Linked DNA regions of Rhinolophus ferrumequinum. The protein of the gene in region 4 purifies or fractionates together with the protein of the main gene of each other region. This does not show direct contact. Links are inferred from orthologs where the notes say so. Each region holds a gene or a part of one and is shown on either strand. Other genes may lie near its edges.

Region 1 (7,823 bases), on a different chromosome or scaffold from region 4:
TCAGCCCAGTCTAGGCGCCCCACTGGTCCCAGCCCAGCCCAGCAGCCCCTTTCCCCCAGCCCCGACCTACCTCCTTGGTGAACTTCATGGTCTGCAGGGCCAGCTCTCGGGTGGGTGAGAGAATGAGCGCTCGGGCCCCGGTCTGGGCGCTGCGGGTCTTGAGTCGCTCAAACATGGGGATGAGGAAGCATGCTGTCTTGCCACTGCCCGTCCGGGCCATAGCCACCACGTCCTTGCCATCCAGGATCACCGGGATGGTCTGGAGAGGAATGAGTGGGTGAGCACCCAAGCACGTGACCCAGGGCTTCAAGTCCCCAAGGAGTGGGCGAAGTAGGGGATCTCAGTGAATGGGAAGTGGCCTGTCACCCAGCTTCAGAATAAAAGGGGCGAGAGAGGTCACAGCCAGGACAAGGGGTGGCTCTCCAGGGCCAAGTGGCTTATCCCCTCCTCCCAAACCCATCCGCCGTCCAGGCTGCGTACCTTCCTCTGGATGGGTGTCGGCACCTTGTAGCCCTTCTTCATGATGCCTTTGAATACTGGGTAGCTCAAGCCTGGGAAAGACACGGGAATGGCCAGGGGGCCGGGGGAGCCCCCACGGCACCACACTCCAGAAAGCTACACAGGACAAATGACTTACATCATCAAACAAACGGCAAGAACAAAGAAAAGCCATAGAGCAAAACTGATAAGACTGAGATTTAAGAAGACAAATCTACCTAGCGTGGGATATGCACCTTACGTGAAATCTGTCTGAACACACGCTTAGTGCAGGGAGACAACTGGGCATGTAACTGCTGATGGAGTAGTGGACAGTACTGTGTGCTTGTGTCAGGCGTGTACAGTCCTGCCTCTCTTGGAAGCGGGAAGTAGGTAGGGGTACAAGGAGTGGATTCCAAGACTCGCTTCAGACTCCTCCGGGACGATGGGGACAAGTAAGTGGGGCGTGGCCAAAGCAAGGCCAAGTTGAACACCACTGAAGTTGGTGATGGGTACGTGGAGACCCGCAGGATTCCATTTTTCATACGTCTGTAATTTATAATTAAAAGAAGAGAGTATTCCATGACAAGGGCCGGTGATAGCTGCGAGCATGGCCACTGACAAATGAGCCACATGGTGCTATCAGGGCGAGGAGGTGGCTCTGGAGACGGGATGCGACTTGGGCTTGTGAGGGTGGGAGGCCCAGAGACAGGAAAGCGCCGTGATTTTAGCTGCTTTCTGGGCAATTACCTTGGTAATTCAGAAAGGCGAAAAATAACCACATGTAGATGTTTTTATTTGCTTTTTTCTTTGATTTTTGATGAATGTTAGCACATTTTTAATATAGTAATTGGCTGTCTAGATTCCTTTTGTGAGCTGACTATTCATGTTCTTCACTCAGCTCTCTCTGGGGTGCCTGTCCTTTTCTTATTGATTTGTTAAAGCTCTTAGCATATAAAGGATACTTACTCTCTGTGTGTCCCATAGGTTGCAATATATTCCTGATAGCACTTTACTTTAACTTAGTTTACAGTGTTTTTTGGCATACATGTGTCTAACTGAAAAAAGAGTCCAATTAAACAGTGCTTGGGTCACACTTAGAAAGGCCTTCTTTTCCTTTCTAAGATGATAAAAATGTTCATCTTGATATTTAAATCTTTGCTCCAGATGCTGACTTGTAAGCAGCAAGAAAGAGAGTTCAGCTTTATTGCCATCTAGCCGGGTGTCCCAATCCCACCCAATTATTCCATCTTTCCCTCTCTGCTCTGAAATGCCATCGTCACGCAGTAAATCCCGAATGTCTCTGCCTGTACCTGCACCAGCGTCACCATCAGTCCTGCTCTAACCGTTTTCTCATTGTGTCAGGCCTGTTGTCCCCACAAGAAGGCCCTGACTGGCTTGGACACCATGTCTGCTGCCTTGGTCAACCCATCACCTACCACAGTGTTGGGCCCAGAGCAGAGCACGGAGGGCCCCACTGCTACTCCCCAAATCCCCAGATGGCTGGCTCACCCACCCATGGACTGGAAGCCTCCCGATTTCTTCTTCTTCTTGTTCTGGGCTCGCACCATTTCTCGCATGTCAGGCTCCACGTCCGAGGTGCATTCTGAGGTTGGGAAGGTGGGCAGTGGTCTGCCAGGTCCCAGCTGCGGGGGAGGAACAGAGAGGCAGCAAAACTCCAGGCACCATGAGACCACTGGTGGCAGGGAGGGGGGCTGTCCTGTTCCCAGTCTGCCCCCCATTCTAGCCTATGACTCGCCTGCCAGGTTACATGACTTCTCTGCTAGCAGGCTCTCTTTTGACTGGGCCAGACAGGGCAAAGGGGCAGAGAGTGGGATCTGCAGACAGACTGCCTGCGTTTCAATCCCAACTCTGTCACTTACCAGCTGTGAGACCTCATACAAGGGACTTAATCCCCCTGAGTCTGTGTTTCCACATCTGGGAAACAAGGATGACAAAAGTATATGCCTCACAGGGTGCTGTGAAGACTAAACAGGTATGCGGGACGCTTAGAATGGCGCCCAGCACATGGTGATATCAGAATCATCATTCTAGCCTGTCAATCAAAGCCTTCAAAATTAAAAACCCTACAGAGCCCATCAAAACATCTACTATGTGTGGAGGTACTAGATTTTTCCAAGCTGCCTTGCCCCCTCTCCCCAATCTTCTTTCTGATTCATTACCTCTCCCTAACTCCAGTCTCTGTCATGCCTGCCTCTTCTCTGCCCATCCAGAACCCACTTGTCCTAACACAGCTGAGTCCAACCCAGACGCCTCCTCTGGGGAGCCTTCTCAGACTACAGGACTATCCCCTTCCTCTCAGAAATAACACGTATGGAGCACTAATTCATAATAATGGCTAGAACTTACACGGCACTTATTCTAAGCCAGCTGCTGCTGTGGATTAACCCACTTAATCCTCACTAGTACCCTGGGAAACGAGAACTATTATTTTATCCATTTTACAGAGAAGGCAACTGAGGCACAGAGCAGTGAAGTGACCGACCCAAAGTCACCTGCTAGACAGCAAGTGGGGGATCAGAGTCTGTGCTCTTTGCATTGTGACCCTCTATGGTCCACTACACCATCTAGGTCAGAGCTGCAGCCTGTCTATGAGCTAAGGATGGTTTTTACATTTTAAAAGATTGTAAAAAATCAAACAAAGGAGACAGTGACCTTATACAGGCCTGCAAAACCTAAAACATTTACCATCTGGTTCTTTACAGTCATGTGCTCTAGACACATGACAACAAAGTGTCTGAACACACCCGTGTCCCACCAATATTTACGGAATGAGCAGAAAATACGAATACCGTCATTTAATCCCTTTCACAGTCTGTGACGTACACATACTCATCTGCGTTCTACACAAGTGGAAACTTCTGCCTTCTACAGATGTGGCTCAGAGAGGTTAAGCAACTTTTCTAATGTCCCACAGCCAGTAAAAAAGGATTGGGCCAGATTTGAACACAGGGCTGTGCCAGGACAAAGCCCTTGATCTGAACCACGCACATATGTGGGCTCCTCTTTGGTACTTAGTACTCTGCCCTCCTCCTGTGCTGCTCATTACCTTTATCAGTTACTCCAAATTTAGAGCACCTACTATGTGCCAGGCACTGGCTTGATGGGGAACAGTGGGACAAGGTCTGGTCCCTGCCTTGGAGTGTAGACCCCTCTTCATATAAACACCTGCTTGTTCACCTACCTACCCAGAGCTGCTCTGTGCCAGGCACTGGCTGGGCACAGGGCGGAGGGGCATAAGGAGCTAGTTCTGCCTGCTTGGTGTTCACACACCTGCCCTCCTTCCCCATTTGCCTACAGTTGGCACTCAGTAGCGGAAATAGCACAGGCCCTGGAACCAGACAGTCCCGGGTTTGAATCCTGCCTCTCCTACTTACAAGCTATGAGGTCTTGGTCAAGTTCCTTTAACCCTCTAGGCCTCAGCTTCTTCCTCTGGAAAATGGGACGACAATACTTAGCTTACAATGTTGGTGTGAGGAATAAATGATAAGGCTCCTTAAAACTCTTAGCACAGAGCCTGGCACACAGTAAACGGTAAACAAACCCAAGTTTAATTTATTACTATTAGTTTCCCAGAGGTTTGGGGGCGTCACTGTCCCAAACTGCGGCGTCCGGCCTCCCCTAAATTCAACCTCTCAAGAATCCCCTAAACTCCAAACTCAGAGCTTCAAAATCCGCACTTTTCATTGGACGAAACGGAACTAGGACCCGCCCCTGTGTAGGAGATAGCCAATGAGGGGCGCGAACAAAAGCCGGCCAAGAAGGCCCCAAGGCCCTAGCCTCTGGAACGCGCCGGCTCCAGCCGCCAGGACCCGGGGCTTGACAGGCCCGAGACACGTGCTCAGGCCGGCAAACCTGCCGGACTCCTGGCCAGGCGACCCCTCCCCACCCTCCGCAGTGCCCACTCCCCAGCTGGGGAAACGGAGGCCGCGGGGCGCTGCGCGGAGCCGGGGCTCGGGCTCCAACGTGTGTCCCAGCCCCGCGCTAACCTTCTGGGCGCGGGTGTCATCTTCCGCCTGGATCTCAAACTCGCCGTCTTCCGAGTCGCTGCTGCGGGCCTGGGGGGCCGCGCCCCGGCGTTTCCGGAGCCCCTTTTTCTTCCTCCACTGGGCCATGGCAGCTCGGGACCGCGGTCCAGCCGCCGGGCTAGTACCCGCCGCCATGCGGGCCCCGGCGCCAGGAAACGGGAAGGGGCGGAGTCTGCGGGGACGTACCACCGGCGCGGCCCTGGCCGCGCTCCCGCCCCTTCTGCCGCCGCGGGAGCTCGGCGCGCCCTCTCACGATCCCCTGACTGGCCCGCGAAGCCCCTCTCGGAGGCTTTGGGCATCTCCGGGAGCGTTCAGAAGGGGGACCCCCTCCCGGGAGCCAATGGTTCCGGCCGTGTCGCCCCGCCTCTGGCTGGTTGCTGTTTGAGACGCGCGCGGAGCACACGTCGCTAGGGCCTGGCTACCCGGGGTGAGTCAGTCCGCGCGGTTCCGGGGGCGGGGGGTTCTGGGCTCCGGGATTCCGACTCCAGATAAACGGGGGTCATGGATGCACCGCGGGTGCTCAGGCACCCCCACAGAGGAGTCCAGAGCTGGTGGGGAGGGGCACTGAGGGTTACAGCCGGCATCCGTGAGACAAGATGCTCTGGTAGGAAATAAGAATTCAGGGACGTCGGACGTCAACCCGGGCATTGACTTGGGGATTGGGGCGTGTGGGGTAGTGGGGGGTGGGGGAGGGATCCCCCTATAGTAGAATGGTTAAGTGCACAAGCTCTGGACTCCTGTCAGGTTCCAATTCCACTTCTATTTTAGTTTTGTAGGTGTGACTTACACATGTGACTTCACCTTTTGAAGCCTCAGTTTTGTCATCTGTAGAATGGACATAAAGTTTCTTCCCAAGACTATTGAGAGGGTTAAATGAGACGATGTTTCTAAAGCTCTTTGCACGAGGTAGGTATGAGATCAAAACGGATTATTATTACTTCCCCATAGATATATACAGGATGTAGGGACCTGTCCTGTCTCGCCCCATTGTTTGTTTTCTGGTTGGTGCCAAAATGGGCACAGGTCCCATCTTTCCTTTATCCCCGTAAGCGTTCTATAAATATTGAGCACACACTGTATGCTAGGAATACATAATTATTAAACACTTGCTAGTAAGACCCATCCACCCCCATCATTCTGACAACTAAAAACAAGTCAAACAAATTTCTGAAATGTCCCCTGGGGTTGGCAGTTCCCCTTTGAGGAGGACTGCTTGAGGGAGAACCTGACCCTTTTGCTGTTGAGGGAGAACCTTGGGGACCTAAGAGACTGCCATCCCTGATCTGCTGGCACTGCCGATGACACAGGGGTGGCACTCTGACCCCCTTTCACAGGGAGCCCTGGAGGCAGGGCCTGGCAGGCAGAGCAGGCCCACTGTCACCTGGGACTACGGACGGCATGAAGACCCCTGTGGAGCTGACCATTACTGGGATGCAGAGCCTTCACCGCCAGCACCGCTGCCGGGGTGGCTATCAAGTCAAGGCCAAGCCATCGTATGTGGATGAGACTTTGTTTGGCAGCCCTGTGGGCACCCGGCCCACACTACCAGACTTTGACCCACCCTGGGTGGAGAAGGCCAACAGAACCAAAGGAGTGGGCACAGAGTCTTCACAGGCCTCGGGGGCCAACAGAAGCTTTGAGACCACCTCCTCCAGGGGCAGTACCGCGACCCTCACACCAAGGAAGAAGAACAAATACAGGTAACAGGATGGGGAAATGCACTCCTGCACTCAGTGTAGCCAGCTAGGCTCCTCTTAGAACCCTGCTATTCACATGCTGTGTGACCTTGGACAAGCACCTTGACGTCTCTGAGCCGCAGTTTCCTGAGGTGAAAAATGGGATCTCATGGGATTGTTGAGAGGATTAAATGAGTGAGGTGTGTGTACAGTGCTTGGCACGGTAACCAGGCAATTAGGAAATTTTCGATAAATGGTAGTAATAAAGGTTATGACGGTGGAATACACATCCCGAAACGTCACAGACCAGGCATCTGAGGCCCAGAGAGGTCAGGATTTGCCCAAGATGACAGAGCAGTTTGCATAAGATTATTAGTGTGACTGATCATGAAATGACATAGCTGTGGTAGTTCCGCATTTCAGCAAGTCATTTTGAAAACAGTTCTTGTTGCATTTTCATGAACAAGTTGGAAAATCAGGAGCTGATGCTAATGGTTATAATTAGGTTATAATTAGATTATTTGGGTTATTTCAGGTTAATACAGCCTGGAGAAGTATCTAGTGGTGAGCCACAGAGCTCTATCTTGTTACCTGTGGTTTGGACAGAGACACAGGAGACTGGCATATTAATCAATTCTGGCTTCCATGACAAAGTACCATAGACTGGGAGGCTTAAACAGTAGACGTTTATTTCTCACAGTTCTAGTGACTTGAAGTCCAAGATCAAGGGGCCAGCTGTTGGTCTCTCCTGAAGCCTCTCCTCGGCTTGCTGATGGTCACTGTTTCGCTGTCCTCACATGGCCTTTCTCTGAGCATGTGCACGCCTGGTATCTCTTCTTATAGAAACATCATTCCTACTGGATTAGGGCGCCGCCCTTATGATCTCATTTAACTTTAATTATCTCTTTCAAATTTAACATGAATTTTAGGAGGACACAATTCAGTCCATAACAACTAACCAGTCATATTTAGGATCCATTCTGAGTCAGAAGGGACATACCGTAGTAGTCAAGAGAAGGGAATGGTGTCTATTTAAGGAGATACAATTCAATGAGATAAAAGCAAGATTCCTTATTATGTCAGGTTGGGGGCGATGCACCTGACAAGTTCTGTGAACCACAAGGCAGGCTCAGGTTGGCATTAGCAGCGCTGATACCTACAACATGGCTGAAAACACTGATGTCAGGATAGGCTGCATTAACAGAAGTATGGTGTCCTTATCAAGGGAGGTTACGGTCAACCCCATGCTCTCCTAAAGAATGGAGTTTTGTGCTGGATGCTGAGAAGTAGAGGGTGTCAAGTGAGAAGGTGCATAAGAGGTAGAGGTGTTACTGAGCAAAAACTGCAGCACCAGACAGACACAGGCTTCAACCAGACGTGTTTTGAATAGTTGAATCAAGTGACAAAAGGCTGACTTTTCAAAGATTTGAAGTTTGGGAATGGAAGCACTTTTCAGTCCTGGCCAAAAAAACCAGGGACCTGACTCACAGGTATGCCATGAATATTTGTGGAATTAATTTAAAAAATAATTGCTGAATAAATCTAATTAAAGGTGAGAGGCCTAAAGGTCTGATTTACTGATGGAGAGCTTGGCTCCTTGAGCCAGGCTGGGTTTGAATCT
Region 2 (7,497 bases), on a different chromosome or scaffold from region 4:
AATTGTCTTGGACGAGCGTCACTCTGTTGCAGAAAGAAACCGTGGACTGAGACTGAATCAGAAGTCAGACGTAGGGGGGTTTGTCTCAGCTCTGTCACTAACTACTTATTCAACCTCAGGCAAGACACCTAAACTCTCAGTTTCCTCATCTGGGAAATGGGGATAATAATGACTGGCTTGGCTATTTCCCACGATCGCTTTGAGAATCAAATGAGATAATAACTTAAAAGTGTTTTTTAGAAAGCCTAAAGCACTGCACAAATGGAAGGCATTGTTTTGCAAAGAAACCTTTCTTTTCATTCCTGTGTCCCTGGACACTTCATCACACACCGCTGGGTTCCTGGGTTATGTGCTGAGACGTGTGGAGTAGCTCAACCTAGGCTTGATGTGGACCCCAGAATCTGTTCTGCAACATCTATAGTGTTTACCTGATGCATCCTGGAATGCTCCAGAACCCCTGGACATTCTGTCACGCTCTCCAATTCACACGGCTATACACGCCCCTCATTCCACGTTTATTTAAAACTCACATTGTTGTGCACGTCTGTGCACGAACGACCGTGCTAGGAACTGAGGCAAAATAGACAAATAACACAGTCTCTCTGCCCTTGAGGGGTTTTACAGCCTCCTGGGTCTGAGAGAACAGACATGAGAACAAAGTAAGTGCCAATTCTGCATTTGTCTTGGGGAGACAACTTTACATGTGAATTTTAATTAATAAAGACATACATGCATATTTTCAGTTTCAACTACAACGAAAACTAGGGGTGGCCCTTATTCATGTTTTCTATTATTAATAGTCTGTAGATTTTAATGTGAGCTTGGAGATTGAGAAAAAAAAATTTTTTTCCAGATCAGTGAAGCTATGGAACTTGAAGAGCAATCACTGTGATTAGTTATAGGATCACCTGGTAGTTTTCCTGCCAATTTCTCCTATAAAGTAGAACTTGCTTTGACTCAAAGCAGTGTCTATGGGGAAAACCATTCCGCACTCCAGTTGAGCCGTTAAAACTGCAGAGCACGTTTGGGCCTGAAATCTCCAGGCACATCCTGACATTTCATGGCCTCAGCTGCTACTCCTGTTTTGAGACAGCACCACAAGACCCCCTGATTTCTGCTAGGGATCGGGGAACCAGTCACCTAAACGCACATAGTGGAATTTAGGCTTAGCTTGCGGGAGAGCTCAGTAGTAGGAAGCCTATTTCAACGCGGTTCCATCCTTTAAATCAGTCAGGCTCCTCCAGCTCTCGCAAAAGCAGTCAACAGCCACTGCTGCTTCTGGAGAACGCAGTTTCCCTCTTCCAGCTCCATCGATTTCTTATCTTGCCTGCTTATTTAATCTACCAAACCTCCTTTTCCTTCTCCTGTGTTTTCTATATCCGGGAGTAGCTCACCAAGCCTCAGGATATGGAAGTCATTGCTGATGGCCCATCCACCTTTCCTCTCTCATCTAAGTGGGTACTAACTTTAGGAGCCAAAGCCCGGCTTTTCTGCATTCCCACGGCCCCTGCCTAAGTCCTTGCCTTCCCACTTTAGGGAACAGGCTCTGGTCTCTATTGTTCACCAGCCTCCGTACTTGTTGCAAAGAAAGCTCTCTTTTAATTCCTGCTTCGGCAAACACTTCATCACACATCCCTGGGTTATGTGCTGAGATGCGTGGTGTAGCTCAACCTAAGCTTGATATGGACCCCAGAATCTGCCTGGAAGAGTTTAGGCCACTGAACAGGAGAAGTCTCCTCTTCCTCTTTACCTGATTAATCGTTTGGTCCTCTACTTCTTAGACCAGCTGTTGAGATCTTCCCGGAAGCCTTCCCTGATTGCCCCTGGGCGGAGACAGGTCACAGTCCCTCAGCTGTCACACTGGGTCTTAATTGTTGATTACTCATCTTTCTGGCTTTATCCCTGGACTGCTCATACCAGAACTGGCCCACAGTAAATACTCATCCAAATGCCAGTTGACTTACTGGTTCTCAACTCTCAGTCTTTGTCAATTCCAGTTTCTTCCCTTGATTTTCAGCTCCCCCTTTTTTTGTTTTCTTTTTTACCAATTTATATCCATAGCTTCCTTCAAAACATATTTTTAAAAACATCTCCTCCATCATACCCTTCTCCTACTTCCCTTCATAACATTTTACTCTTTACTCTCCTTGTCCTTATGGGGAATGTATGCAATAAGTCTAACGTTATAACAAATCCCACACAAGTTATTACACATGTAACATAATGATCGCTTTCTTTCAAAGAGTCACCTTGAGAAATTCCGCACCTATTGTCATAGTGATGTCACAGCCAGTCGTTTCCAGACCTGCTCTTTGGGGATGATGACATTTACATCCTTCTGAATATATCTCAATAGGGACAAATTTAATCTTTGTAGGTGGTTTTTAAAATTTGTATACAGCCAAGTCACTACGAACTATATTTAGTGAGGAAAGAGAACGATCAAGCTGGTAACTATCAGTCAGCAGCTAAACCGTCCTGTTATTATCTTTCTCTGAACATATTTGCACAAGGGAAATTCCAAAACAATTGGACTGTGTTGTTTTTGCAAAGAGTTTCTAGCATCCCAAGGTGACTAGTTTCACTCATAACACTTGCTTATCTATTATAAAGTGCTTATGAAAATCCGGTTGGGAACTTCAGAGGCCGCTGATCATACTGCTTTGTGCTTGTTCAGTGCCATTTTACCTTCTAGTTCAACATCTATTATGGGCTGGGCTCTGGGAACGAATGAGGCCGTGGGCCTTACCCGTCGGGACCTCCTGATCTAGAGGAAAAGATAGAAATACAGACAGTCCTGTGTGAAAAATAGAGATGAGTGTCAGATAAAGAAGCAGGACAGTGGAGGGACTGTCTGTCCGAGGTAGGAATTGGTTACAAGGTCGGCAAAGCCTTCTCAGGGCTGAAGGATAAATGATTAGAAGTTCAAGAGGAGGAGGGGAGGGGACTACAAGTCATTCCGCGTCAAGGGAACAGAAGGTACAGAGACTGAAGGAAGGAGATATGTTTGGGGGGGAATCTCAACTCATGCAATACTGTTATTGTGTAAAGTTCACAATGGGGCAGAGGGGACAAGCGAGGGGGCCCAGGGAAGGGAAGGCCTTGTATTGACCATTTTTAGAAGTTTGGACTTTGTCCTCTAGGAGCCCGGGAGAGGCTCTGTGGGTAGGATTTCCCTTCCCGACAGGATCGTAAACCTCCACATCCAATTAGTCACATTGGGTTGCCCCACCCGCGTCTTTTCCTTTTTCTTTTTCTTCGAGATTGTCCCCAGTCCATCCCTCCCTTTCTATTTTGACATCTACCTCAGTAGTGCAGGCCTTCATCAGCCATGCCCGCCTGGACTGTTTCACAAACTCCTCACTAGCCCTCGGACTCCCGTTCGTTCACCTTTTGCGCCTGACAATTTTGCGCAGGATTATCAGAGCAACCTTCCTTTCCATCAAGTCTCACTCCTGTGCGAAGACCTTCAATGGTTTTTCTATGACCTGAGAGATAACTATCCCCCCTTCCTACCCACCCCTCCCTCTTTTTCAGCTTGTCGTTCAGGGTCCTGGTCCCGACCCCCTTTCCCTCCTTGACTCCTGTCACTGCGAATAGTGCCAGAACTCATCTACTTCTTCCCTTATCTGTACCCTTTTATGGGGGCTCTCCCAGAGGAGAATGTTACGGCCACACCAACTTTTTCTTGGATTTATTTCAACTCTTTTCTTACAAAAACCAAGCCCACTTGTACGCATGCCTGATTCCATCCCTCATTCTCCTGCGCTGGAAGTAACCGCTATGCTGGTTATATTCTTTTACTATATACTGTGTGGTGTGCATTCATAAATAATCTATGGCATTGTTTTGAAATATAAATAGATATACATGGTATACTTTATATCTCCTTGTGCAATTGGTTTTTTCACTACCATTTTATTTTTGAAATGTATTTCTATTGGCGTATATGAACATGCTCTTTCAATTGCTGTGTATTTTATTTTCTAAATATACGATACATTATCCATCCTTTCCTCTATGGGTGGGCATTGAGGCTGTTCCCCATGTTTGGTATTGCCAACAATGTTACAATGAATATCCGTAGCTGCTCTCCTCGTCCTTACAAATTTTCCTAACCTTTCAAAATCCTGCTCTCATCCCAGTTCTTCCATGAAAGCCTACCCACTGCAGCAACGTCTAAATCCTCAAAAGTAGCTTGAGCATCATGAGACTTTAGTACCATTCCTACGGTGCCCAGCAAAGTAAGGCGCTTAAGAAACATTTGCTAAACGAGTGAATGAATGCGTGAAGAATGAATGAATGAATGAATGAATGAATGAATGAGGCAGCACAACCCAGCTGATGGCTCTGTTCATTTTAAATGGGCTTTGGCGCCCTGGCCCCCATTTCCTTCTGTGACAGCACAGGCCGTCCGCCGCATTCCTCCGGCCACCCCGGGGTGTGTGGATGTGTGTGTGTGTGTGACACGGGCGATCCCTGGCTCCCTGGATGAGGGCCGGCTCTCCGGGCAAGTTCACGATCTCAGTGCCCCTAGCGTCTGAAGTTCAGCGTCCTAACACCCACCCCTGTTGGCAGAGGCCGGGCCCAGCGAGGCGCTCCAGCGCTGAAGGCGTTAAGGCGCGTCGGGACTCGACGCGGGCCGGGCCGGCGGCCGAGGCTGAGGACTCGTAGTAGATCCCTCCGCGCGCGGCTCGGCCGGCGCTTCTTCCTGCGGGAAACCCCTGGGCGCCGCAGGCGGCCGCCGGCCTGGGCGGCAGGGGGCGGGGTTTGCGGTGGGAGGAGGCGGCCGAGGCGGAAGGACACACGAGACTGCACACTCGAGAAAGTTAGAGCCGAACTTCGGGCGGCGGCTGAGGCGGCGTCCCGGGCACGGCTGACTCGGGGTGCGGGGAGTGGAGGCGTCTAGCCTGAGCTTCGGGGCCAGCGCGAGGCCGGGCGCCACCGGGGCGGGAGGAGGAGCGCAGAAAGTGGGGGCTCCTCTGTTGGGACCCCCTCTCCATGTGGATCTGCCCAGGCGGCGGCGGCGGCGGAGGAGGCGACCGAGAAGATGCCCGCCCTGCACCCCGCGCGGCTGTGGGCGCTGCTGGCGCTCTGGCTGTGCCGCGCGGCCCCTGCGCGTGGTGAGTATCGGGCCCGGGGGTGCTGTCCCCGCGCCCTGGTCGCGCACCGCCGCCCCCGCCCGGCCATCTGGGGCGCCCGGTCCCCCCCTTTGGTCCCCTCCGTGCGAGAAGGCCGGGCTCTGCCGCCGGCGCGGATTGAGGCCACTGGGTTCCAGAAAGTTGGGGCATCGTGGGGGCCCCCTGAGCGCGCCCCTGCCCCCGCGCTCCCCGCCGCCGCCTGTTCCCTGCGGCCGGTGGCCCCACACACGCCTCCTTGGCCGGAGGGAGGCCGGGCAGCGAGGCTCAGAAACTCCCCTTCGTGGGCGCTGGAGTTCTAGGAGTTGGGCAGTCTTGCCCTTTTGGTTCCGCGTTTCCTGGGGTTGAAGGGGAACCGAGGGCGGGCTGCCTGCGACAAACCCCCGCTGGCCGCCGACCGCAAAGGGGCTGAGCGGAGGAATGCCAGGTTCTGGCGTGGGGGGGTCGGCGAGGGCAGGGCCTCCCAGCCCAACGGCTTGCACCTTCACGGCCACCAGTAGCTGTGCCAAAGGGGAGGCACGCAGTCCGGGTGGGTGGGGTCGGTTTGGATGGGGCCAGGGTTTCGCGGGGCGCCCGAGTCTGACACTCCGAATCCACGGGCGGGACGAATCCGATGTGTTGCACGGGGCCTTTGAAAGGTGGAGGCAGGAACAGTAGGAGAACTGGTGGGGCTGCACGCTGGGCCACAGGATTTAAAAATCTCAACTGCTGTTATTCTTTCCGAGGCGCGCAGCTCAGGCGCTATTGCGGTCTGTGTCCAGCCCCAGGAATGTGGTGTGACGATCACCAACTCCTCTAACCTGGCAGCCGGATTTGCTGCTCTTTTGGCAGGTTGGGGGTGGGGCATGGGTGGGTGAGGAACAGTGGAGAGGGTCATTCAAAGTGCTGCCTTCGCAGGCCTCTTTCGGGTTGGATATGTGCGACAATTTCTGAACGCGGTTGGACCAAGGAAAGGAAATGCAGTCATTCCTTACCCATCCCACCCACAATTTCAGATTCCAAGTTTCCTCCGACCGGGTAGTGGAAGGCGCTTGGGTTTTGGAGCTTCATAAATAATCCTGGGTTCAAATCCAGCTCCGCTCTATGAACGCCCCCAATAAAATGGGAATGAAATTACCCAGCTAATAGGATTCCTCAAGAGAATGGTGTATTAAACCCATGGCAGTCAAAAGGTGTTCCGAAAGGGCAGGGCTGGGTTTTGGTTTTCTCTGAATCTCTGCTTCCAGTGGGATGATAGCTTGTGTCTGTTTGTGAAGCCGCAAGCGGCCCCTGCTTTTCCTAGCCTAATATGAAGGAGTATTTTACCTTGACCAAAAAACTGGTACATGAGCTATGTCTCTTTACAAAGAAAAGGTTAAGAAGATGATGAGCTTCAGAAAAATTTGCTCTTTGTTCACTTGCAACAGGCGGGGGACCTGTCCATCATCGATGTTGGAAAGAGAACAAGGTTATTTATCACCGTGCTGGGCTGTTCAGCACCAACGACTGTGTTTCCCTGAAAATAAAACCTAGCCGGTTAATCAGCTCTAATGCGTCTTTTGGAGCAACAATTAATATAAGACCCGGTCTTATTTTACTATAAGACCCGGTCTTATCTAACATAATATAAGACTGGGTCTTATATTAATTTTTGCTCCAAAAGACACATTAGAGCTGATTGTCCGGCTAGGTCTTATTTTCCAGGAAACACAGTAGGTCCTTGGGAAGTTCATATTCCATACAACTCTAGGTCCCTAAGAATTTAAGAAGTGGGCCAGGGGCTGATGTGATGATGATCGAAACTGTTGTTTCAGAAGCATTTAACAAAGCACGTAAATGGTGTTTTTGCCTTTCCTTTTTCTTTGAGTGGAAAGCTTTAGTATAAGTCTAGATTTAGGATAGAGAGGAGTATAAACAACGGGTTAGTTTGAGAGTTACAATCCTTGGTCTACCACTAACTTGTTTTAGTAAAGAACTCAACCTTCATGATTTGTAGGCTCCTCACCTATGGAATAGAAATACAGAAGCAACCTATTTCAGACAGTTGGAGGGAATAAGAAATATGATTGCAGAGATTTGCAAAATTAAGTGTGAAATGATAAGACGGATGTCAGCCTTCTCTCATTCTAGAACCTCAGTATATAGAAAGACATCCTTTTTTATACTTCTGCACTGATGAGGTATTGCTATGACTAACTTTTAGGTGGACAAATTGAGTGTTAGTCAATTAGTTCAAAGGACAAGATTTAAATATTTTGATTTTTAGGCAGGTGTTCTTCTGGTGCTAAACTGCAATAGAAGAGATTAGAAACTTGTTTCTTAGTACAAATCTTAAACCTTTTTCAGAGTCTGGCAGTGAAGCCTTCTTCAGTCTTCTTAA
Region 3 (7,557 bases), on a different chromosome or scaffold from region 4:
CACCCTAAAGATTGACAGGAACATGAGATGGCTGAAGCTGTACTGTCCTTTTTCTGGCAAGAACTCATAGGACAAGAAATACTCGGGAGAGCTCAACATCGAATCCCATCATATCATAGTGCATGACTGGATGCCTTAAGATTGCAGTTGGAGTCACTCAGTAAAATTGTTGGCGGAGGGACTAGTAGCCTGAGAAAGTTATACTGAGAAAAAACTTGCAGTGTGTTAATTATTAGTAGTAGGCATGTGGAGAAAAGAAGAAGCTAAAAAAAAAACAAACAAAAAAAAACATCAGACCTCTGATAAATCCACAAAGGCTCCATTCCAGATTGTCATAAGCCTCTTGCCTCTGGCCATGACTAATGGCCAGTAAATGTCTGAATAACTTTTCAACTATTTGGAAATTTCTTCAGTAAAAGAAAAAATATAGTAAAGGGAAAAGGGCGACCACAAGCCAAGCTGTGAACCAGGAACTCCCGAGGTGTAGGCCAACTAGGTCACTGAATTTGCCGTGTTTGACTCTTAGGTTGCACCACTTTGAACTTTGGAAGTTTGATCCTCCCAGCGGTGTTTCTGAGGTAGAGTCTGGGATTAGATTGCAGGGTGAGAATTCCCATAAACGTGATTCCATCGTAACTGCACTGTTAGCCCTAGTTCTTTCTCGACTTGACAACTGGATCCCATTAAAGGGGGTTAGTTATTGACATCTCAGAAGAACCTCACTGTAAAGCTCCAAGTAAAGCGCCACTCTTCCCCACACCAGTGGTGCCTCCCAAATTCCCCATTATTTCCTGATCACCCAGAATCACCACATCGGAAGGATTGCCAGCTCCTTCTCCTCCAACACATCTAACCAGTCCTTTTGAGCCCTGCCCCGTGGTGCGCCTTCCATCTCCTTTCCCTTTCATGCCTGTTGCCATTGTTGCTCTCATTCAGTTTCCCCTTATGTCTCATCTGGACAACAGCAATACCCTTCTAGACTTTCCCTGCTTCCAGACTTCGTTCCCTAAGACTGACTCTTCTTGTCACTGCTCATATTTCCCTGATCTCACCCTTCTCTTGCACCAATTGCAAAAAGACCCTCCGAGCTCTGGCTTTCCGTTTCTTTCTAGCTTGATGTGCCACTGCAGATGTATCCTGTGCTCCTGCCCGCACTGGGCTGCATCCTGCTTCGGGAGCAGGCCCTGTGTTCTCGTATTTTTGTTCATACTGTGCCTTTTGTTGGAATTCCCTCTCCTCTTCTCCTTGTGCTAAGGCCTTACCCATTTTTCAGGGACCAGGTCAAATAGTATCACATTCATCAAGTCTTCTCTGATCTCTCCAAACCTAATACAATCGCTGCCTGTGATAAATCTATACCACTTTATATCTCTTGTAATACTCACCATGCTATGTTTTGCGTGACAGTCATTTGTATATTGATCTTGATACACTTGGAAGGAAGGACTGTATCTTACTCTTTGTGAGCAGCAAAATATTCTACACCACATAGTAGGACATCTCTTTAATAAGTGTTCGTCCTCCAAAATAAATGAATAGATGGGGTGGTATCATCTACAAGTGGGGCCCGTGGGTAGGTTAAAATGTAACTGCTGAGTACGTGGAAGACAAGAATCTGAGTAGGTGGAAGACAAGTAAATGGCTCCCAGAGGACCACATGCAAGAGGGAGCTTAGGACTTGTGATGCCTAGCTCGCTGAAAAATCATCCTGATGTACACTGGAGTGTGAAAGACTAAAAGGTCTGAAATGTGGCCTTCAGACACTAAAGAGATTTGTTAATCAAACACCAGCCAGCTCCACCAACAGTATATAAAGGCGCTTTGTAAACAGTACAGGATTATTAAGGATATTATTAACATCATACTGTTAATATGTAATGAAGTTGGCTCAGACGCTAATGAAACCACTGATTGTTTGGGTGTGTGCTAAATAACCGTCAAGGTTTCTGAACCACTGATCCAAGGCAGGATAAAATTACCAGCGATTCTTACTGAGAAATTGTGTTTCACCTAACAAAGAGCCCGTTCTGTTTGGGTTTTGTGAAAATTGTGGTTTTGTCACTTGACATGGGCATGGGGACAAATGTCAGAGCAGGCAGTGGTCATGCTTCATGAAGTTTATAGGAAGGCAGAGTTAACCTGGTTGAAGTAAATTGCAGATGGAATAAATGCTGTTGTAGGGCCAAGCTCCCAGCTCACGCTGGCTTGTAGCCGACTAATTAATTAATGGTCAGGAGTAATTCTCTTGTTCTTGCGTTTCAGGCAAAATAGATTTATGTTTATTTGCTAACTTCATAAGGCTATCAGTCTGTCCATATTCCGTTGTTGCTTTTCAAAATGATCAGATGGCTAATGGAACTTGGTAAAAGAATGGGATCAAATATATGGTGATGGAAGGTGAACTGACTCTGGATGGTGAACACACAATGGGATTTATAGAGGATGTAATGCAGAATTGTACACCTGAAATCTAGGTAACTTTATTAACCGTTGTCACCCCAATAAACTTTAATTTAAAAAACAAAACACCTCCTGATACATGGCTTGAAACTAGAATTGACTTCCTTGAGGAAAGCACTTGGCAATCTAAGTTTATTGTTCACAGCACTACAAGAGGCGTTTTTAAAAAATGCTTTGGCTCTACCTAGAAATACACCTCACTAAAATCTAAAATTTGGGGTTCATAAAGGTTGATCATCAAATAAATTAGCATTTCCTTGTGGTGAAAGTTTAAGTTTATTTTAGGGGTGTAGTATTGTTCAGACTGGCCAATCTCCCTGCCATAATATAATCAGGCTGGATAAGAAAGGCTAGAGAGGCGTGCAGGAGTGCAGTGTCACTTCCCTTTTTTCCCAGGCTTATTTTTTTGGACGTTATCATGTCATAAACCTGTTAACATCCTGGCTTCTATTGTTGTGTCATTTTTCCAGCAAACTAGGAGTTACAATTTCATCTGTCTTTTAGAATAGCTTTTCTAAACATTTGAAAAGCGTAAAAGTTGCGAAACTCATTCATTCATTTATCCATGAAGCATGTATTGCTTACCTGCTATCTGTTGGGAATAGCAAAACAAGTAAAGCATGTTCCCGGCCCTCAGCCTGGTAAAAGAGATGTGTGAATAGGGCCAAAACCAGTGACATGCACTAGACAAGGCAGTGTCTATAAGGTACTGAGCCCAGCGCCTGTCCCGGAGTGAAAGTCGGATGCCTTCCTTGAAGTTCAATGACCAAAGTCACTTTTAGGGTTCCAGGTGGGACTGTGTTTTGGTTTTATATGAGGTTTGATTAAGCCTTTTTGCTTCTTTTAATTCATTTTTTTCCAACAAATAGTTACTGTGGGGATCAAATTGGGGCAGGGGCTAGGGAGTGTGGGGCATGGGGAGCATGGTTGCAATTTTAAATAGGGTGGTCAAAGAAGATATCACTGAAAAAGTGACTTGGAGTAAAGCCTTGAAGGAAGTAGAGGTGCAATCAAGAGGCTCGGTGCTGAGGGAATCAGTGTTGGGGCCCTGAGGTGGGGTGTGTCTGAAGGGTGCAAGGGACAGTGCAAATGCCAGTGAGGCTGGAGATGAAGGGAGCGAGGGTAATTGGGGCAGGGATGAGGCTAGAGAATGAACAGGCAGGGGGTTTAGAGGCCATCTTGAGGACCTTGGCTTTTCCTAGAGCTTCTTCCTGATGAGCAGTCTCCAGGCATCGGGCAGCCTGTTGAGCTGCTACAGCATGATACGTGACCATCTTCATTTTCGTCCATATTTTTACTTTTTTTTTTTTTTTTTTTTACTGGGGAATATGGGGGAACAGTGTGTTTTTCCAGGACCCATCAGCTCCATGTCAAGTTGTTGTTTTCAATCTAGTTGTGGAGGGCGCAGCTCACTGGCCCATGGGGGAATCGAACCGGCGACCCTGGTGTTATGAGCACTGCGCTGTAACCACAGTGCCAACCAGCCGCCCCATATTTTTACTTTTATTGCCCCTGACGGTGAGAAGAGATTTCGTTTGTGGGACAAAGTCTCTTCCTTGTCTACATAGCGGTTATAGGCATGTATGTCTGTGTCCTGTCCTGCTCTGTCCAGCACTAAGGAGATATGTGGCTAGAATTGCTCTTTTCAGTAATTCTGCTGATCTGTGGTACATACCAAGGAGGACATACATAATGCCCTTGATCTCCATATTCATAGTGTCTAATCCCTTTTGATTATACTGGTAACATAAGGCTTTCTCTTACAGTTACTTTTATCATTAATGGCACAAAAATGAATTCTTCATAGGGCCAAATGCAAGCTCTTTAGGCATATAAAGTGAGTTAACAAGGGTGGCTCAGCGTTAAGCTATGCTAGAGCTGAGTCCAAATTTTATTCCGGTACAGGGATAACTTTCTATGTGGCCTCTCTGGCTCTGGAGCTAATTTGGATGCTGAGTAGCACCACAGGTATTTATATGTAGTGTTTGGTATTTTTACTGGGTCCTATTCTTCTCCCTTGGATCACCTAAAATGGTTAAGAATTTTCTAGTGGGATTAAGGTTGTGATCTCTGGGGAGGGGTGGGCCATCTGCTCTCGGTTATTTTTGTGTTAGCTGCTTCCCCTTAAATGTATGTTCACAAATGAGCCACAGCCTTCTCAGGTGGGGTCGAGGGAGGACTGGTCTAGGTGCTGCTCCTGAACTTGGTCTCTGAGCCATGGCTTCCCATAGACACTCAGGTAAAAGCTTCGTATTCTTTATCTTCTATTGAGCACAAGTTTGTTAGGGCACTGAATCCATCATTTGCCTAAAAGATACTTTTTGATGAAATGATTTTAGTCTTGTCTAAATAGGTAATAAGACAGCTCATCTCTGTTCTGCCCCTTTAATGCTGTTTCAAAGATAAAAGGTTATTCTTATTCAAGAAAAATTAGCAGTTCGAGTGGCTTATTTTTAAAAAGTATGTAAGCCTTTTACTGTATTGTACATTTTTTAGGACAGCTTATGAAACTGTAAGAGGTTGTGTGAGGAAAGAGGTTTTCTTTGGTTAGAAACTTCTGGTTTTCTTTGGTTATTTATAAGATAACAAATATTTTCTTGACAGTGCTTTAAATCGAACTTAAGGTGTTTAGAAAAGGTCCATCAAATATGGAGCTGGAAGAAGGAATATTTATAACTAAGACAGTCCGTAATGACTTACTATATATCTCCCCTTTCTCTGAATAACCTTTTCAGTCTTCCTGAAAAAACAACTGTGATCCTTTTGATATGACACTTGGGTTATTAATTGTTCTTATCAGGAAAAGGGGCAAATTTTCGGAACCTCTGGACTGTCATTACCATAAGAGCCTTCCTCTTGTTTTGTAAACTGACATTAAGCAAGCCCTTTGGCTGTGGACAAGACACTGCGGAATAGGGGTCAGAGGACTGAAGGTCAGGCAGTCTCCCCGGAAAGCCCGGTTCTCTCAAGTCAGTATGCTGCCAGTCTCTCCTCCGAAGCCAGGAATGCTGCTGTTGCTCTTTGCCCTCTGCCTAAGTAACGGTCCCCTTTCTTAGAAGCCGGGCACTTGGTCCTGTTGCCTACCTTTTAGATTAAGAGACAAAATAATTATTAGTGGCAGTCTTTTGGAAAAATTATTTTTGAAACTTAACAATTGCCTGCCGATACTTAAACAATGGGAATACTTTCGGAAATGTTCTCCTTGCGTGTTTTAAACAAATATGCTGCAATGTAATTCGCTGCCTCAATGCAATGGTCTTCCTTGTTCCCAAGTGTTCAAGCACTGTCTCTGTTTCCCAGGAGCCACTTAACCAACATGGTACCACATGCCCGAGATTGTGGTAATCGGCCAACATACACATTCTCTGGGTATAGGTAAACTATTCAGCTATACTAGTTGTTCCAATGGACCTTGAACGCATGTTAACTGGTAAAGGAACTCCCCATTTTACTTACTAAGTGACAGAATAGGAAAATGATATACTTAAAAGATAATTACAGCACACCCAACCTTGGGTTTTAAATTGTACCAAATCCTGACATTATTCTTGCTTATATTAATATAAATCTGGAGGCTACAACTGTGACTAAATTAGACAAATTAATTGACACCTTTTAGATGAGTTTTTAAATTGGGAACTATTGTTTTGTATTGCATTAGGTTCATAGATCCATGGAAGCAGATGAAAGACAAAGAAAATCCTCACAGAATTTTCTTTCCTCACAGAAAGAAAATCCACATTGCCCCCAAATTGCCTTTGTATGGACAGAATTGGATCAGAATCCAATTTCAGTGACCATCCATGTACTGAGAGGACATTTCAAGTACAAGAAATTGTACTTTTGTTACTGAACACTTTGCAGTCTGCAAAATTGTGTATACGCAAATCCTTTACCCTTCATATGTTTTTTTCCCCTTCAAGTTGAGGTCCGGTGTGGGGGTGCGGTGGGAGGGAAGATCACTTGCCATGTTATTCAGCCATTGATTCCCTTCACCTGCCATTGCCCAGTGGGTTTACACACGCCCGACAGTCTTTTTTTAGGGTGCCATGGAAAATGAAACGGTGGGGTGAGAGGGCGTAATCAAACTGGATTGGCTTCTTAAAATAACTGAAAAATAGTAGTCAGATGATTTGGTGGAGGATGAAACTGAACATTTTGTACTTTTTTTAAATTTTAGTTTCAGGCCACCAAACGACCACCTACTATGGTACTTCATCACAATTAGAGAAACTGAAAACACAGGTTTTATTGCTGCCGGGTTGGAAGCGCTGTTTTCCTATATGGAAGATGGAACATGCTGCACATAATATTAAGGAAAGCTTTTACTATGCACAAAACAGCACTAGAATAGAATCTGGCCCAGTGGAAGTTCAGTGACACATAAGTTTTTCTTTAATAATCTCTATCCAACCCTCCTGATACCAGGTATAATGTAAACTGTGTTACCTGTCTATCAATGATCCACAAGAGATTTATATGGTTTTTTTCCCTAAAGGCCGCATACAAGTGATATTGCTAATAACATTGAATCATTCTGTACATGTTCTATTTTTAAGGGAAAAAAACACTTTCTGATTTTCTAGGAAATTCAATGAAAGACTACTTTTCAGCCATGACTCATGAACTCTGTCTCATGGCAACTATTTAGGTATTTATTCCCAAATGTCTGACGACACCTCCAGGTGCGCGAGCATAACTGTTACACAAGTGTCCTATTCATCGGCTAAGGCTCCATTCCATTTGTTGAATGTTCCATTTGTTGTATATTGCAGGAAAGCAATATACCCTTTCTTTAGAAGCCAATATTTATACACGGAGTGACTAACAGACTGGTATGTTGGACTTAGCAATGAACAGATCAGAAATAACCTGAATTTTTTTTTCCATTTGGGTTGCTGTTCATTGTTTACAATGTACGTTATATATACCATTCAGGGAAAGTACATAGTTAGAAAAATGCTACCTAGTCATAATACTCACTTTTTCCTGAGGCACGAGGCGAAAAATGAATGTTAGCAAGAAATACATGAGAAAATACACATAGAAATACAAGCAAGATTATCAAATACAAATTGAATCTTCTCTAATGAGAGG
Region 4 (7,081 bases):
CATCTGGAGTGCCAAAAATGACTTAATGAATTAGAGCTGGCAAGAGTGGCTTCCCCCAAAACCATCTTTTTTCTTAGCCACTTAAAAGACATTGATAGAAATCTGTTAGTATAAGAGGTAACATTTTAATAAACGTAACTGCTTAAAATCTAACACCTAGAAGCACATTAGAATAGATCTGAAAATACTAATAGTGAGCCTCATATTTTTCCTGCACTCTCCTGCAATATGCATGAGCAATAAATTTACAGCTTTAATCATCAATTATCAGAAAGAAAGCCTCCCAACCACAGCTCACGCCCTATGCTTCTAAATATGCTATTGTTTGGTATAATTTAGTAAAGATACTGTTTCATTTGGTCACCAAATAAAGATCTTACACAATTTAGAAACAAAAAAACACAACTTGGTTTGTAAAAGTTGCTTTTATGATGTTTGTGTGATCATTCTTATATGCATAAGTCAGAGCAAAATACCTTCCATTATTATTACACTTTGCTTACAGGGAGAAACAACAGTGTGCTCAAGATTTTACCTTCAAAAGAATGATTATGCACTAAAAACAAGTAAAGGAGAAATGATTGTTGGTAAAAATCCAGTCATGGAACCCAGACTGCAAATTTTGACAAAAGTCTCACGTATCAATCATGAAACATGAGTTTCCGTCAATTAAAATTCATACTAATTCCAATCACAGCCTTCAAAATAAATAAAACTGCTTTCCACTATACCAACATTCCTCACGCTACATTTTGCACATGCTCTACTAGTGGCATTTTATGTGGAACTTTAGTTTACAAATGATAATCCAGGTGATTTTAAGGGTAACATTATCTTCTAAAAGTCGTGATAAATTAGTGGGGGGAAGGGAACCTCCTGAAATACACATTCAGTCTAGCAATCCTGGTAAATCTAATACCGTATTCCCAGGACCAGAATATTGAGGCCACTTAAATACACCACACCACTTTCTCCCTACCCACCCCCACAACTCCAAGCTTTTAACACTACCATAACAATAAGCACCCCGAACGATTTAAAGCTCCTGTAACATTAAAGCTCCTTTACCTTAAGACTATTACTTAAATGTCTTTTCATTGCATTTCATTAATGCATTCCACAAAGATTCTAGAAGCAGTATTCATCAACCAGAACTGCAGGCTTAAGCGCTTTCCTCATTTCAACTCCAAAGATGGGGCAGAGGGTTGTCATAAATCTACAGAGCAAAAGCGAATAATTGTAAACTACAATGATGAAGAAAAAGTTAAACATTTGTATCAAATTCACAAGCAGGATGCCTTCCTTCTTCCTTACGAAGCAGGAGTTACTGGTGAAAATAACTAAACTCCACACCTAGAGTCTAGAAAATGCTGAAATTCTCCACCGCAACATTTACAAGTTTTTAACAGCAAAATTCATTTCACTGCTATTCACATGCCAAACGAATACCCCATGTGGATATCTGAAACTATTCTCACACGCCAAAAGAAAAGGAAAACACACACACACACCTTGCGCTTCTCCTAACCTTCCGTCCTACGATACCCTCAGGTAACCCAGACGCAAAACTACCACCACGACCGCTGCCCTTGGCCTAGGCCGCCAGAAACCAGAGGCCGGAGGGGCAATCACCAAGAGACCCGATCTTTTTCCAGCGTTACTGTTTCCAAGCAAAACAAGCACGGGCCCAGAGAGAGGCGAAGAAAACTGGAGACACTGTAATCCCGAGAGAAATGGGGAGGAGGGGTGTGTGTAATCCCGAGAGAAAAGGGTGCGGAGAGAAGGAGCGCCGAGCAGGAAAGTAAGTATCCCCACGCATCTTTCAGACCCACAAAAACAAGCCGAGGGTCTGCCCGCACGTACAAGCACCAGATGGAGTCCCCGGGGCTGAGACAGTTCAGCCGACACACACTGTGGGGAATGGATAAATCAATCGATGGGAGGGGAACGGGGGTGCCAAGCGAATAAGCCACTGGGTGGGAAAGACAAAGCCTGTGGGGATGATCAAAGACAACACAGAAAGGTGAGAGTAATACACGAGAAAAATAATAGATGAAAAAGGAAAAGAGAGAAATCTGGTGCCTGGGCTGTGGCAGGTCACTTAACTGCCGAATAGAGAGGGGCACAACAAAGGGGCACGGGAGGAAGGACAGCCGAAGGCAGGACATGGAGAAGGGATGCGGGGCGCGATGGGTCGGACAAAGCGCCCAAGGCGGCGAAACAAAGGGCCGGGGGTAGAGAGTCGCGGGGGGCAACTGGGAAAGACAAAGCGCCCGGGACCGGGGGCACCGGCCGGGCGAGGAGGCGACGACGATCCAGAGAAACAAAGCTGCGTGGGGCTGAGAGGCAGGGCCCGCGGGAGGCAGCGCGGAAGACGAGCGGAGGGCACGGCGCCCGTGGGCCCCGCGCGCCCCGCCGCACTTACGCCCGCACCCGCCGGCCTCGCCGCCGCCGCCGCCGCCGCCGCCCGCCCTCACGCGCCGGAGCCAGAGCCAAGGCGGCGCAGAGCGGGCTGCGCACGGCCACACGCCGCCGCGCTCGGCGCACGCGACGCAGCTCCCGCGCCCCCCGGACGCCAAGCGCGCTGCGGCCCCCGAACCCGCCTCCCGTCGCGGGCTCGGAGACGCCCGCAACTTTCCCGGTTCCCAGCGCTCCGATTCCCTCAGACTTACCCTGTCACAACAGGCGCCATCTTCCACAAACTCTCGCCAAAACTCCAACCCTCGCGAGATTCCCCCCGACGCCTGCCCTGGTCCCTCTCCCCCGCCCCTTCCCTTTTTCCTCACTCCGTGATTCCACCCAGCCCCCGCGCTCCTTTTCCCCTAGCAGCCGCCGCGAAGAGCCAGACGCCTCGCGCCGCCCGCGAAGTAGGGGATCCTGCTCGCTGCCTTCCCTGGAAACCTACCCAAGCGATGGAGCATGCGCAGGCGGCTCCTCCACGGGCGAGCCCGCCGTGTGGTCCATGGGGAGCGCTCCGGTTATCCGGGTTTTGAGACGTGCCTTGAAGGACGTACGTGGAGACTGAGGAAAACCGGAGGGGATTACAACGGGGACGGGGAATGGAGGGGTCAGGAGGCGGGGCCGAAGCGAAGGGAGGAGGGGTCCTGGGAAAATCTGCCGCGTTTCACAGGCCTAGATGAAACACCTCCTCAAATGGGTGTTTTCCAAGTGGCTTCCCGCTCACTCTGGTTCCCAGCCCTTTTCATTCATTCAAACGTTCATTGGACGCCTCCTTTATGCTAATGTCAGCGTTAGGTGCTGGAGCTACACTGATGCCTGGAGTTGGGGCGAGTGACCAAACGAGGAACTATCATTCATTCGACCCTCTTGGCTAGCGGAGAGGCGGACAAGAGCACAGTGTAGTTTGACCCTCCAGAACTATGTAAAGGGAAAACTTTTGCCGTTGAGCTCTGTCGCCTTAGTTTTCTTTTCCTTGCATGAGAAATGAGGTCAGGCCAAGACCTCTGGCAAAGACATGCCTAATGTCCACCTCGCATACCACGCCAGAGCGCCGCGTAGTTTTCTCCGGCGGTAAAAAATGCGTTGGAATTGAGAACCACCACTTCCCCGCCCCGCACTCCAGCCAGAGGTCCCGCTCGGACAGAGAGCTGCCTGCGCTGTGAGCCTCCCTAGGACTTCATCACAGCTCCCAGCCTTGCATGAACCCAGGTGTATAAAGGAACAGACTCTGCACAGGCCTTCCCGCGAGCCAGGCACAGTCGAGGATACTGCTCGCTGCCCGAAATGTACTTCAGGCGACCTAAGCCTGGAAGCCTCCGAGCGAGCTTGGCCCGACTGGGCATTTAGCAAAAAGGTGCAAAGCCCCAATCCCCGCCCTCCCTACCAGCAGCACCCCTTTCTACCCTCTACCCCGCCTTGCCCTTTCAATTCCTAGAGATTCCCAGAACCAGCACTGCCTCCCGCAGGGAGCCCCAAAACCCGGAGAACTGGAATCCACTGCCCGAAACCTGCTGAACGCGCTGCAGGACTGGCGCGGCACGCGCGAGCGGCACTGCGCATGTGCCCAATGCGGGCAGCTTAGTCTCACGCTACACCTCCTTCCCACCGCCTTCCACTACTCGACTCAGACACAACACGGGCCGTGGGAAATTTCGTAAACCTCGCGAGAATGCGCCCACTGTTGCCTATGCTTTCGCCCCAAATCTCGCGGAGCCCAGGCGGGACAGGTGTTTGTCTAGTGCAGCTCCGGGTGCTGTTCGTGCCGCGCGTGCCCGGGCGGCGGGCGGCGGGCGCGGGCGGGATGAGAAGGGCAGGGAGCGGCTCGCCGCGGAGGCGAGGCGGGTGGGCGCGTGGCGGGGAGCGGGGGGAGGAGGGAGGCCGCGAGGGTGCTCGATGTGTTGCACCTACATGCCGCGTGACGCTTTGTGGAAGAAAAATGGGTCGGGTCGGGAAACTCTAAAGGAAGAAGGGGAAGCCAGGAGATTAGAAACTCGTGGTGCGGGTGGTTAAGAGGTGAAACTCTAGGGTAGGAGGAGCCCCAGGCGGATCCCCCGGGGAGGTTTCCTGTCGCCCTCTACGAACCTGGTACTTTCCTAAACCGTGTTAGACGCCGCGTCCCCGGCCTCCGGGAGCTGACGGCCCCCAGTGTCGGGTTTGAGTCATGCTTCTGAGTCACCTAGTCTGGCCCTCACTTTGAAACAAGTTCAGATTATTTTAGCTACTCTCTTCTAGCAATTGGTTATATTCTTTCTCATCTACCCGCTGGCCTCGCGAGTTGGGTACAGAAAAAAAGCTGCTCCCTGCGCTCTCGCATTGTTGCCTTTACAGATTCTGCCTCCCATTTAAGGACACTTTTTTTTTTTCTAATTTCTTCCCCGCTAATCTCTTCCTAGCCTTTTAAAGTGATCTCTACATAACAGTTTCTGTTCTTGTTTTTTTTTTTTTTCTCCCACTAATATGACTTAAAATACTGGTTTTGCTTTCATTCACTTTTCAGTTTGTTGAAATATTCATTCCATTGTAAGTATTGTTTCATCAGGTGCTTTAGTGACAACTTTTAAATGCATACCTTCTTTTTGGATTATTTGTGTGTCCAGTGAATTCCTGGTTACATTCTCCAATCAGGCACATTCCAGATTGCCCTGGTGTACTTTTGTACCAGCCTAGCCTAGTGTTGTCTAAGAACTCGTGTCTTGGTGACATTATAGACCCACAAATGTAAAATTGAATTCCGTTTTGATTTTTGGAGGACAGTGAGTCCTTTGATTGGGGTTCCTGTTCTGCTGGTTGTATAGTGGATGAGAAATCAAATTTTTGAATTGTTTTCAAGGTTTTTAGTTTGTATGTGTGAGTGTTCATTTACCTTACCCTTTGATTAAATATTTCACACAGCAAAAGAGAAGATATAAGGACACTTACTATAATAGCTCAATGCCAGTCGGATGTGGAACACGACAGCTCAGGAGGACAATGCCCATGGGCACAGATTCCTTGGAGCCTTCATCCCAAGACGACATTTCAGTCATGGTCTAGTCCGGGCCATTAATCTAATTTGGAACCCTGGCCATCGGAGAACCCCAGCCATGGAAAGCCAGGGCAAGCACAATGCAAATCACAACTCCTCTTCACCCTAAAACACGCTCCACCTGCATTCTTTCCCCATCCCAGTAAATGACAACTCCATCCTTCCTCTCCATTAAGCCAAGAACCGCAGAGCCATTCTTGCCACCTTTTCCTCTCACGTCCAACATCTCATCTAACAAAATATGCTGGCTCCACTTTCAAAATAGGACCCACAGTTGGAACAGTTCCCCACCTCCATGGTGACCAGCCCAGTCCAAGCCATCTCATTTCTTACCTGCTTTACAGGAAGTCTAACTGGTTCTCCCTTCCACTCTTGCCCTCCCTCAGTCTATTCCCAACAGAGCATTCAGTAACCCTGTAGAACTCGCCAATGGTTTTCCCATATCACTATGAGGACCTACACAATCTGGCCTGCCACCCTGACCTCCCTGATCTCTACTCTTCCCCTTAGCTGTAACCAGCAGACTTTCTTGCTGTTCCTAGAACATAACAACTCCTGCCTTTGCCCTTTCCTCAGATGCTATATGGCTCGTTCCTTCACTACTTTCAGGTCTTTGCTTAAATGTCACCTCAGTGAGGCCTACCCTGACCACCCTTCACTAAAGTGACTCCTCACACTCTGTGTTCCCTCCTTTATTTTCCCTACAGGGCTTATCATAAGCTAACACAGTATATATCTTACCAGTGTGTTGTGTTTACTCTCTGCCTCCTCCCATTGTAATGTAATCTTAATGAGGGCAGGGACTTCTGTCTTTGTATTCATTGTTTGAGGCTCAGCCACTAGAACAATGCCTGGTGCACGATAGATGCTCAGTAAGCATTTGTAGACTGAATAAGCTGTCTTCCACTTTAGAGCAGAGCAGAAATGATTCTGAACACTCACGAAGCCTTCTAGGGTTCAAAACAGTATTGGGATTAGACCAGACTTGAATACCCCAGAGCCAGCCGGCCTGCGGAGGAGAAAAGAGCCTATAGAGCAATTGCCTGTGTTGACTTTCTGCCAAAAAATTTCTTACTCCTGGGTTAGACCAGAAGATGAGCCTACATTCATGTGAAGGGTTTCCATTACTCTCCATTTTAGAGCCTCAGGAATGAAAACACTATTGACAGGATATTAAAAAACAGGTATTCATGCGTGTTGCTAGTGAGCGTGAAAATGGATGTAAGCTTTATAAAACCAATTTAGATAAAATTTAACGACTACCTGTTAATTCTACAATTCCATGTCTAGAAATCTACCTAACAAATATACTCACATGTGTGAAATTACTTATATTGCAGCATCGTTGATGGGAGACAATATTGGTTAACAACCTAAATGTCAAGAGATGTCTTAATTTTTAAAAAGTCATGATATATTCATAGAATTGGATAGTATGCATTTGTTAATAAGCTGAGGTTACTTTTTATGTACTTGTGTGGAAGGATCACAAAAAACAAGGTGCAAAATGGTGATAGATAAATATATACTTATTTGCCTATATGTATCTAAAATGGTTCTGGAAGAACACAATAGAAACTGTAAACAGTGACTGCT

The links.
Region 1: the proteins of RBPJ (region 4) and RITA1 purify together in Homo sapiens (affinity purification with mass spectrometry; 4 studies listed by BioGRID and IntAct, with this or other methods). This does not show direct contact. The link is inferred for Rhinolophus ferrumequinum from reciprocal best matches to the Homo sapiens genes RBPJ and RITA1.
Region 2: the proteins of RBPJ (region 4) and NOTCH2 purify together in Homo sapiens (affinity purification with mass spectrometry; 3 studies listed by BioGRID and IntAct, counting the BioPlex papers as one, with this or other methods). This does not show direct contact. The link is inferred for Rhinolophus ferrumequinum from reciprocal best matches to the Homo sapiens genes RBPJ and NOTCH2.
Region 3: the proteins of RBPJ (region 4) and FHL1 purify together in Homo sapiens (affinity purification with western blotting; 4 studies listed by BioGRID and IntAct, with this or other methods). This does not show direct contact. The link is inferred for Rhinolophus ferrumequinum from reciprocal best matches to the Homo sapiens genes RBPJ and FHL1.

Annotation. Positions count from the first base shown.
Region 1 is NC_046308.1:7,990,424-7,998,246, forward strand, and holds the start of RITA1 (RBPJ-interacting and tubulin-associated protein 1), read left to right. Parts: upstream 1-4,811; 5' UTR 4,812-4,953; intron 4,954-4,985; exon of another isoform or gene 4,986-5,130; intron 5,131-5,294; 5' UTR 5,295-5,432; intron 5,433-5,860; 5' UTR 5,861-5,924; coding exon 5,925-6,226; intron 6,227-7,823. Other genes in the region: ATP-dependent RNA helicase DDX54, read right to left, coding at 71-259, 481-551, 1,994-2,123, 4,488-4,661. UniProt on the Homo sapiens protein: Tubulin-binding protein that acts as a negative regulator of Notch signaling pathway.
Region 2 is NC_046305.1:49,116,046-49,123,542, reverse strand, and holds the start of NOTCH2 (neurogenic locus notch homolog protein 2), read left to right. Parts: upstream 1-4,480; 5' UTR 4,481-5,050; coding exon 5,051-5,123; intron 5,124-7,497. UniProt on the Homo sapiens protein: Functions as a receptor for membrane-bound ligands Jagged-1 (JAG1), Jagged-2 (JAG2) and Delta-1 (DLL1) to regulate cell-fate determination.
Region 3 is NC_046284.1:20,056,184-20,063,740, reverse strand, and holds the start of FHL1 (four and a half LIM domains protein 1), read left to right. Parts: upstream 1-4,546; 5' UTR 4,547-4,677; coding exon 4,678-4,699; intron 4,700-7,557.
Region 4 is NC_046288.1:70,461,630-70,468,710, forward strand, and holds the start of RBPJ (recombining binding protein suppressor of hairless), read right to left. Parts: upstream 3,017-7,081; 5' UTR 2,965-3,016; coding exon 2,906-2,964; intron 2,769-2,905; exon of another isoform or gene 2,693-2,768; coding exon of another isoform or gene 2,673-2,692; intron 1-2,672. UniProt on the Homo sapiens protein: Transcriptional regulator that plays a central role in Notch signaling, a signaling pathway involved in cell-cell communication that regulates a broad spectrum of cell-fate determinations.